Schizosaccharomyces pombe: one gene and its partner. The protein of the gene in region 1 interacts with the protein of each later gene in a biochemical or structural test. Each region holds a gene or a part of one and is shown on either strand. Other genes may lie near its edges. The genes, in order: mob2 and orb6.

What was found.
Region 2: the proteins of mob2 (region 1) and orb6 form a complex in vitro, tested with the Schizosaccharomyces pombe proteins (one study listed by BioGRID).

What each region holds. Positions count from the first base shown.
Region 1 is NC_003421.2:506,289-510,929, reverse strand, and holds mob2 (protein kinase activator Mob2), read right to left. Parts: upstream 2,888-4,641; 5' UTR 2,878-2,887; coding exon 2,610-2,877; exon of another isoform or gene 2,444-2,609; intron 2,154-2,443; coding exon 2,060-2,153; intron 1,995-2,059; coding exon 1,622-1,994; 3' UTR 596-1,621; downstream 1-595. Other genes in the region: cbr1 (cytochrome b5 reductase), read left to right, coding at 1-495; rpl3601 (60S ribosomal protein L36), read left to right, coding at 4,055-4,276, 4,438-4,515. UniProt on the Schizosaccharomyces pombe protein: Required for coordinating polarized cell growth during interphase with the onset of mitosis.
Region 2 is NC_003424.3:1,006,055-1,010,929, reverse strand, and holds orb6 (serine/threonine protein kinase Orb6), read right to left. Parts: upstream 2,668-4,875; 5' UTR 2,492-2,667; coding exon 2,349-2,491; intron 2,082-2,348; coding exon 1,907-2,081; intron 1,862-1,906; coding exon 770-1,861; 3' UTR 612-769; downstream 1-611. Other genes in the region: dnf1 (P-type ATPase), read left to right, coding at 1-290; gamma-glutamyl phosphate reductase Pro1, read right to left, coding at 3,181-4,536. UniProt on the Schizosaccharomyces pombe protein: Interacts with pak1/shk1 and coordinates cell morphogenesis with the cell cycle. It is essential for maintenance of cell polarity and is involved in mitotic control.

The DNA of each region.
Region 1 (4,641 bases):
AGTAAGAAGTTTTCTGAACTTAAGATTGGTGATACCATCGGTGTTCGTGGCCCTAAGGGAAATTGGAAGCATCGCACTGGCCTCGCGCGCCATTTTGGCATGATCGCAGGCGGAACAGGTATTACTCCTATGCTTCAAATCATTCGTGCTGTTCTTTCTAATTTTGAAGATCCAACGGAAATCACTCTTTTATATGCTAATGTATCAGAGGGTGATATTGTTCTTCGTGATGAGATTGACGCACTTGCTAAGAAGGATCCTCGTTTTACCGTTCATTATGTTTTGAACAATCCTCCTGAAAACTGGAAGGGAAGTGTTGGATTTGTTACTCAAGAACTTATCAAGGCGCATTTCCCTGCTCCTTCTCCTGAAACCAAAGTTCTTATTTGTGGCCCTACTCCCATGGTTAATTCACTCAGAGAAGCTACAGTTGCATTGGGATATGAAAAGTCCCGAGCCATTTCGAAGCTTGAGGATCAAGTATTTGTCTTTTAGATTTTAATTTTGATTATTTCCCTTCCCTCGTTTCAATAATGTTCTTCGTTTTATGTTGCCAATCGACTCACTCTACTGCAATTTATCTTACTACACGGCACATGTTTTAAGTAGTTAATTATTTGACGTGACTATATGTTTACGAATAAGCTAGAGACTTTTTTATCTGCTTGGATTGAAGTTAGCAATGATACGTACACAGTCTAGTCTAGTGAAGGATCAAGCCAATGCAATCTTAAAAGAGAAATAAACAAAATTTACATTGAGATTTATTTCAGTTTAAAGGATATCCATTAGTATGCCCAAAAATTGAATTATCGTAAAGTATAAAAAGAGAGTCAGACCATAACTCGATCCTTTGAGAATGTAACGTTCAATTTAGGAAATAATTATAATCACTGTTCGTCCACAAACAATTTTTTGAATTATTTATCAGTAAGCCCAATAACCCAACAAAAGACTGAAGGGAAAAATTAAAAGTGTCGAATTTGGAAACGTCTTCAGTTCATTTGAGTAAATTGCTGCTATAAAAAAAGTGGACATTAAAACAAAAACAAATTTCAGTTGTAACAAGTTTTACTTTTTTTTAATTTGCTTATCGGTCAAGTCCAAGGTTAAGAAGGGGAGCAAGGCTGTGGACTTTAAAAAAAGAAGTTGATGGTTAGATATAGGAAAGGAGAGCATTAGCGGATTATTTTTGTTGAGAAGGATAAGATCTCTTATAATTATCAAGGAATAATGTGGAATGAGTCACATAAAATGCAAGATATAGTTAAGAAACTAAACGGACGTTGAAGATAATTTCTAAGGAATACGGCCAAAGTCTGTTTAAAAATTCCCGTGAAATCAGTGAATGCAAGCGAATATGCCAAGAGTCCAAAAGGAATAGGATGTAAAAATAAAGAAAATGGCATCAAGAAATACAAATAGTAATTAGCTAATGAAGGTGGTAACGAAAAACGAACAAAAGGAAGTGTAGGAATTTAGCATATAACTTACTGCCTGTGTAGCAGAGAGAGGATTCGAGGGAAGAGGGTATTTGTGGGAAGAGGGGGTAAAGGAAAGGACGAAAACAAAAGAGATAAATGGTAGAAAACAGAAGTGTGTCCTGCCTTCGGCAAGAATATTAAATATTTCCTTGATTTTCTAAGACAACAATAAGATCTTTTAACGGAGCAGTGTCACGTTTATCCAACAGTTGAAACTCTTTACCAAAAGCAATAAAGTGAGCAAAGAATGAATTCCAGTGGGCTTCTAAAGAGAGATGAAGGATTTCTGCATAATGAGCATAATACATATGGGCAAAAATGCGAAACATTTGTTTATATATGGCTTTAACAATAACAAGAAAATTTGAAGGAAATGGCAAGCCTGCCTTTGTAGGAAAGACGTTTTGATCATGCAATCTATTTTCAATCCAAGCGAGTACGTATTCAATATATTGGGGAGCGGGTAAATGGACGGGTTTACGGTTGTTATCCAACCAAGTATAGTCGAAACTATAATAAAAGAGTAAGTTAGTAAAGGTAGAGGTGAGAAAATAATTAACTAGAGAATCACATACTTGGCTGCAGCACTCATAACAGGACAAGTCTTTACAGTGCAAAATGTAGCAAACACGTCGTAAAAATGATTGAGGTAAGTAAACAACTCGTAGACTAAAATGAAAAGAGTTAGAAAATATATAAAGAAACAAAAAAAAACGTGAAGAAAAGCAAAGAGTTGTAACGGTTAGCACAAGACAAGTTGTTGACAGAACGGATTACGTATCCGGAAAAAAAGAAGAAATTTTTGTTGAACGATGAAAAAACAAAAATAATAATAATAATAAAAAGATTGAAATTTATGGTTTTTAAAATTTGAAGCTAGATTCCTGGGTTTCTAATTATCTCAAAGTATAATTTCCTAGTACCATCGAACGTTCACTTCAATTTCCTCCTATTCATGTCATGCAATTCAAAGAAACCTAGCAAAGTAATCCGTCAAGAATCTTCCCTCAAAGGAAAATGATGATAAAGACAGTGCTTTGGTCAAATTTAAAAACACTTGTCCAGTAACCAATACCTCCATCATTCTTCTGCTGACGCGAAACTGCAAAAAACAAAGCAACATACCATTTAAAGCAACCCATTCATCTAGGTCCACGAACCTTGGCAAAGAAACGATCGTGGAAAAATTACCCTTTACCAAATGAGTCCGAACAAATGGCTGCTGCAAATACAAAGCTGTAGGCTCTACACTCGGCGACCCCGTACGCACCAATTGCGATGTAGAACTTTTCTTGGAGAAAGAACCAGAAGAGCTACTTGCATCTGAAAGGTTTTGATGCCTTTTGGATCGATTCCCTCGAGTAATCCTACTTAATGAATTTAACAGAAACATGGCAAAGGACAGGTTATACAAAGGCCCACGCTTTGTGTTGGCTGACCCCTATAACGAGTTACTCCACTCTAGATAACGTTATGTAAGCCAATAATAAAGTTGATCCCTTCAAAAACGATATTGTTTAATATCGAACGTGTTAAGCTTCCGTATATCCGGTTTAGTAACGAGTTTCAAGAGCGGTAAATGTCAAGCAGTAAAGGGTTCCCGACTAATATAGTAAGGATCTCTCGGATGTGAAATAAGGAACGCTAGGAGCTATCGATGTCACTTGCTAGTGAAATTTTCATAACAAGAGGAGTCTTCCTTCTGATGATGGGAATGTTACTTTCCAGCGAATTCGTCTGAGGGTTCTGTAAATATTTGGTTGGGACTGGTTATCCATTATCTCATACACCACCGATGTTGCTGAAACGGAGAACTCGTTTTCTCACCGTCAGGGATTTACAAGATGAGTACGATCATGGCACAATTAGCACCCATAACGTCTATCTCTGAAAATCGCCATTCTTGAGATCATAGACAGCAAAACGATGAAAGAAAGACAATACCTCTTCTAAAGAAAAGATATTACGAGATGCGGTGGAATGCGTTATCAGTCATTTCTAAATACGGTAGAAAATGCGGGAATTGAAGGAGCGTGGATACTGTGATATTTCGGGATGCTCAAGGATTTGTATGACTGCTGTTTCATTGCTGCTTATAAAATACATTACTAATCAATTTGAGTGCAAGGGATTACCCATGTTCTTGTCTGTAGCCTTTCGTCTGCTGCGTACGAGGGCATGGCATTGCTGGGAGACTGAATGACATACATTTACTCGTAGGGGCAACTCTAATTTCAAAAAAAACGAACCGTTCGTTATAATTTATGGCATAATACGTTTTATTATGTAGTGTTTCAGTACTATGTAATAACCGTTCTCGACTTTACCCTTTGAAACCCGCAGATGGAAGCAATTTCCATTGTTTACAATACAATGAGAACCTGTAGTATTGCCTCCTTTACTTACGCTAAAAATTGATAAGCCATACAGAGGTAGGAATCGTTATTTCGTGCGATTTTTTTGGTTAAAGGGATGTAGGTTAGGGTTGAGTTTTGTGACCGTTATTTTCGTTAAGGGCAGTGATAGTCTGTACTATAGCGCAGTAAGTTTTCCCCTACACCAATCTCACAATGGCACCTGGTCTGGTTGTTGGTTTAAACAAAGGAAAGGTTTTGACCAAGCGTCAACTTCCTGAGCGTCCTTCTCGCCGTAAGGGACAATTGTCCAAGCGTACTTCTTTTGTCCGTTCTATCGTTCGTGAGGTTGCTGGATTCGCTCCCTATGAGCGTCGTGTCATGGAATTGATCCGTAACTCCCAAGACAAGCGTGCCCGCAAATTGGCCAAGAAGAGGGTATGTAAAATTTTGTTCTGTTACTGTACATGCTCGTAGAGAGCTTCAAAGCTTAGTATACTCAAATTCACTTGTGGTATTTTGAGACTCGGAGCTATGAATACTGTAATGGGATATTATGTTTTGTTATTGAATTTATTCTTATTCTAACAACTTTTTAGCTCGGTACCCTTAAGCGTGCCAAGGGAAAGATTGAAGAGCTTACCTCTGTCATCCAAAGCTCTCGTTTGGCTCACTAAAAAATCCCTGTTTATGTTTTGTAATAAATAAAAAGGATTTCATGCTATGACAACAATTGTAAAAAGGTCGTGTGTAGTTGAAAATTAGCTAGGTAGTTGGTGAAAGAGTAGAAAACTCAGCTGTGA
Region 2 (4,875 bases), on another chromosome or scaffold:
ATTATCCGGACAAGAATTTATATCTTGCTAGATCACAGTTTCTCCATCATTTTGGCAAAAATCCTTCATGGTGGCTTACTATGCTTTTTGTAATGGTTTGTGCTTTAACAATTGATATTGTTGCCCAAATGTTACGAAGGACTTTACGTCCTACGGACACCGACATATTTGTGGAAATGGAAAACGATGCCTTTGTCCGCTCTCGGTTTGAGCAAGAGAGCGGTGAGTTTTTACAAGCCAATGCACCATCTGTCGATGAAATTGAACAATATTTAAAAAGCCGAGATTAGGCATTTAATTCATTAATCCAATTCTAGTATATGAAACTTTCTTTAGACGATAGTCAGTTTACTGGTAAAATGTTAAAATTCTGGGGTTCCCACTGTTCAATTAGAAATTGTCTATTAGTTATGGGTCATGATCCGCATTTCATAATTATTGTTTACTATTTTGGTTGGTTTTCTTGGCGTTAACATCCTGTTGTACTTATTAATACATGTTTTTTACTCACTCTTTTTTATCTTTTCCCTAATAAAATCTATGCATTAATTTGGAATTCTTATGCAACGAATTTAATATTTACAGAAGTGCATGTAAGATTTTATCAGTAGGGACAACATTAAAAAAAAGTAATTGGTAATATTATTAGTTATGCTAAAATAATGTAAAAGAAGGTAAACATGAATTAACGATAAAAAAAATTCGATAACAATAGTTAGATGCTCAAAGGACAATGAACAAAGTAGCTATGGAGTTTCTTGCAGAAGTCTTACAATGCTCCTTTCATCGTTAAATAATTGAATTTTTTGTAAGTGTACCCAAGGAATGCCAGATTGGTTTGTTCCAACGTCTGAGGGTCAACAGAAGCAGGTTGTTGTGTGACAGGTTGTTCAGGAACTTGTTCAAGCTCATCAACAGGGAAATAATGTGTATCGGTAATAGATTTCAAATTCGGAATAAATGGAGCTGCAGTTTCTCGTATATGATCCCAATCGATTCCAGTAAAGAAAGGATGTTGCATTATTTCAATAGCACCGCCACGACCTAATCTGTGTTCTGAATCTGTCATAAGTCGGTCCATCAAATCACGAGCTTCTATGCTTAAATGTATATCATTTGGGAAAGTCAGAGTCTCACGCCAATTGATGATTTTTCGATAAGTTTCATGAGAGTTTTCACTGCAAAAGGGAGGCCATCCAATTAAGCACTCGAACATGATAGCGCCTAAACTCCACCAATCACAATCTTGACCATACCCTTGTTGCAAGAAAATTTCTGGAGCGATATAATCAGGAGTACCCACAGTGCTATAGGCCATCACCCTACGGTTCTTTTTCCAAGTAGCCATTTTGTCCTTGGAAGACATTGTAAGCCAGATAGCATCTACCATTTGACCACGTTTGACAGTATTTCCTGTGCGAGGTTTCATGTAAGAGGCACTCTGATCTTGCTTGTAAAAACCAGTGGAAAGTCCGAAATCAGAAAGTTTTATATGGCCATCCCGGTCAATCAGTATGTTATCCGGTTTTATATCCCGATGAATATAACCCATTCGATGAACATCAGCTATAGCCAAAACGCACTCAGCCATGTAGAAGCGAGTAACGTCTTCTGAAAAAGTATCATAATTTATTAGCATGGTCATCAAATCACCGCCTGGTAAAAACTCCATAATCAAGTAAAGATACAGTGAATCTTGAAAAGCATAATACAATGACACCACCCATGGGGAGTCAGATTCAACTAATAAGTCGCGTTCTGCTTTGACATGAGCCAGCTGGTCACGTTTGAACATTTCAGTTTTAAGCAAAGATTTCATGGCATAGATTTTACCCGTATCGAGTTTCTGAACCAACCGAACCTATTTAATTAGATACCAAAAACATAAACAATTATGCAAACGTACCTCGCCAAATGCACCTTTCCCAATAACTTTGATGGTAGAAAAATCTTCTAAAGAAAGCCGTGTACGACGAAATCGAAGAAATTGAGACTCTTTTTCACCAGATGCTCTTAACTGCCTATTCTTTCTCTCCTCAGAACCCCTTTCGGTTGCTAATCGTTGCTCCAAATTGATACGTCTAAAGAGAATTAGTATTTATACCTAAAAGTAAATTAAACGGAAGCTAGCATTATTAATTAACATTTTCGAAACAAGATGAGTAAGCTGTCTAAGATTTTATAAACATTCGAGATTATGCATTTACTGCAACACGCGAAGTTGAGAACGGAGAAAGAATTAATAAAAGCATCGTCTTTGATACTTATCCGATCAACGTATAAGATGGGAATACTAATTGAGGAATGTGAAACAATGCTAGAACCCTGAATAGTAATGCTACTCGTACCTTTGGTTGCGCTCTACAGCATGATCAACTGCCACCTTGTAATAATGTTCAATATATTTCTTTGTCTTTTGGACTTTGTCTAAAGTTGATTTCGGAAATAATGAAGGGTTCCGTTCAAAGTGTAAGTAATCATTCTTATCCATATTGAAAGAAATGTTGCAATAAATGGAATTTTTACACTAATTAGAATCAACTACAAGGTCAACGAATTAATTAACAAAAAGAAATTGTTAAAAGATTGAAATTCAATCGCTTAAAACATGAATTAACAAGACATGCAAAACAGAAATGAGACAGTGATAAATCGGATATGGTAAATGACAAGTCCTATTATGCTTTTTTAATTATAGGACTACTGCCAGCTAAGGTATAATCCGATAAAAATATGTTAAACTGCGATACTGGAAAAGCAAGTACTTCTGCAGTTTGTTATATAACTTCAACGATCGCTTGCGATAAGCTCCGCGCATTTCCTAACCCTCCCTGTTCAATATTACGACGCTACTAACTGAAGCCAAGAATCTTAGCTTACGAAGATTTTAGAATCTGAATTGAAATGAATAGTCAAAAAAGACGGACGGAGACATCAATTCGTTCTTCACCATAAAAATATTTGTGTAATAAAAACTAAAGGTGGTGGATCGAACTCTACAGGAATAGTTATCTATTTAATTTGGTGTTTACTCTTCATTTAATAACTTCACATTATTGAAACTCCCATTTAAATATTATAGACAAACAAGTAAACAAAAAAAGCCTAACCGATTTGTATCCAAAATGCAGCTAGCCAAAACGTTGACAATTTCACATAATTTTCAAATCTTTTTTGTGTTTATTTTTTCGAAACCTGAGAAATATTGTCTATATTAATAGGGGTATGTTTAAATGCGCGTTTGCCAGGTCCAACTCCATAACTACTTGCAACTTGACCATTTCCTCTAAGTTGGTACTTGTAAATAGTTAACCCATCAAGACCCATTGGTCCTCGAGCATGAATTTTGTTGGTGCTGATGCCAACTTCGGTACCGTAACCATAACGAAAACCATCGGCAAATCTGGTTGAAGCATTCCAATACACACCAGAAGCATCAATTCCAGCCATGAATCTGTTAGCAGCTGCTTCACTAGAAGTGATAATGCAATCCGTGTGTTTAGAACCATGTGTATTTATATGCTGCATTGCGGACTGTAAGGAAGGTACAGTCTTAATAGCAAGAATCAAATCAGAGAATTCAGTGTTGTAATCTTGATCGACAGATGGTTCAACTAGAGCACTAACTTTTGGCATATCCTTTAAAACCTTAAGAGAAGCGGGATCACATTTTAATGTAACTTTTGCTTCAGTTAAAGTTTCAGCAATTTTAGGAAGATGAGAAGATAAAACAGCTTCGTTAATTAACAAAGTTTCAATTGCATTACATGCTGCTGGATAATCAGTTTTTCCATCCAGAACAAGTTTACTAGCCAATTCCATATCAGCATCCTCATGGACGTACATGGAGCATAGTCCTGCAGCATGACCTAAAACAGGAATTTTTGTGTTATCTTTTATATGGCGTACAAGATTAGTGCTGCCGCGGGGAATAACCAAATCTATGTACTCATCCAATTTTAATAATTGTGATACCTCCTCGCGACTCTGAACAAGCTGCACAGCAGCCTGTGGAACCTTACTTTTGCCCAAGGCAGAGCGAACAACATTAGAAAGTGCAGCGAAAGACTTTGCTGATTCCGTGCCTCCTTTAAGTACAACAGCATTACCAGATTTGATAGCCAGGGAAGTAATATTAATGATTACTTCAGGTCTAGCTTCAAAAATGACTAGCAATAAACCTACAGGGCAAGAGACTTTATAAAGGTCCAAACCATCGTCAAGACTACGAGCATAAGTAACACGACCAAGGGGATCAGGCAAACTTTTAACATCTAAAACACCCTGTACCATGGAATCGTATTTATCAGATGAAGACAGATCCAATCTTTTAACCATCGATGAACTTAGTTTTCCTGATTCAGCCAAGAGCTTAGCTGCTTTCATATCTTCAGCATTTGCAGCTAGAACCTCTGACTTTTTTATGCGCAGTTCTTCAACTATTTTATCCAATGCATCATCACGGTCTTCCACTGATAATGTCTGTAAAATGTTAAAAGCGTTTTTCGCTTCCTTTACATTCTCTTCAAGAGACATGCTAAACAATACTTATACAACTTTGAGTAGAGGCAATTGGGAGATTTAAATCAAGCGAATTCTTATTCTTAGAATGGCTAGCTCAAAAAGACTACTTTTTGTAGTATTTTGGTTGTTTTTTCTAATGTATGAATAATGCAAGTTCGTGATTTATTTAACACCCTTCAAGTAACAAAATCAAGCATTGTTACTTTACATTAAGCATAACTAAGATTTCTGAAAGATACGAAATCATGGAAAGTGAGAGTACTTCTGCAGTTAACTAAAAATATTTTGCAACCTCAAGAACAGTTAGTGTTATATTTTCAGTTTTTGTTTTTCCGTTACTATATATAGTAG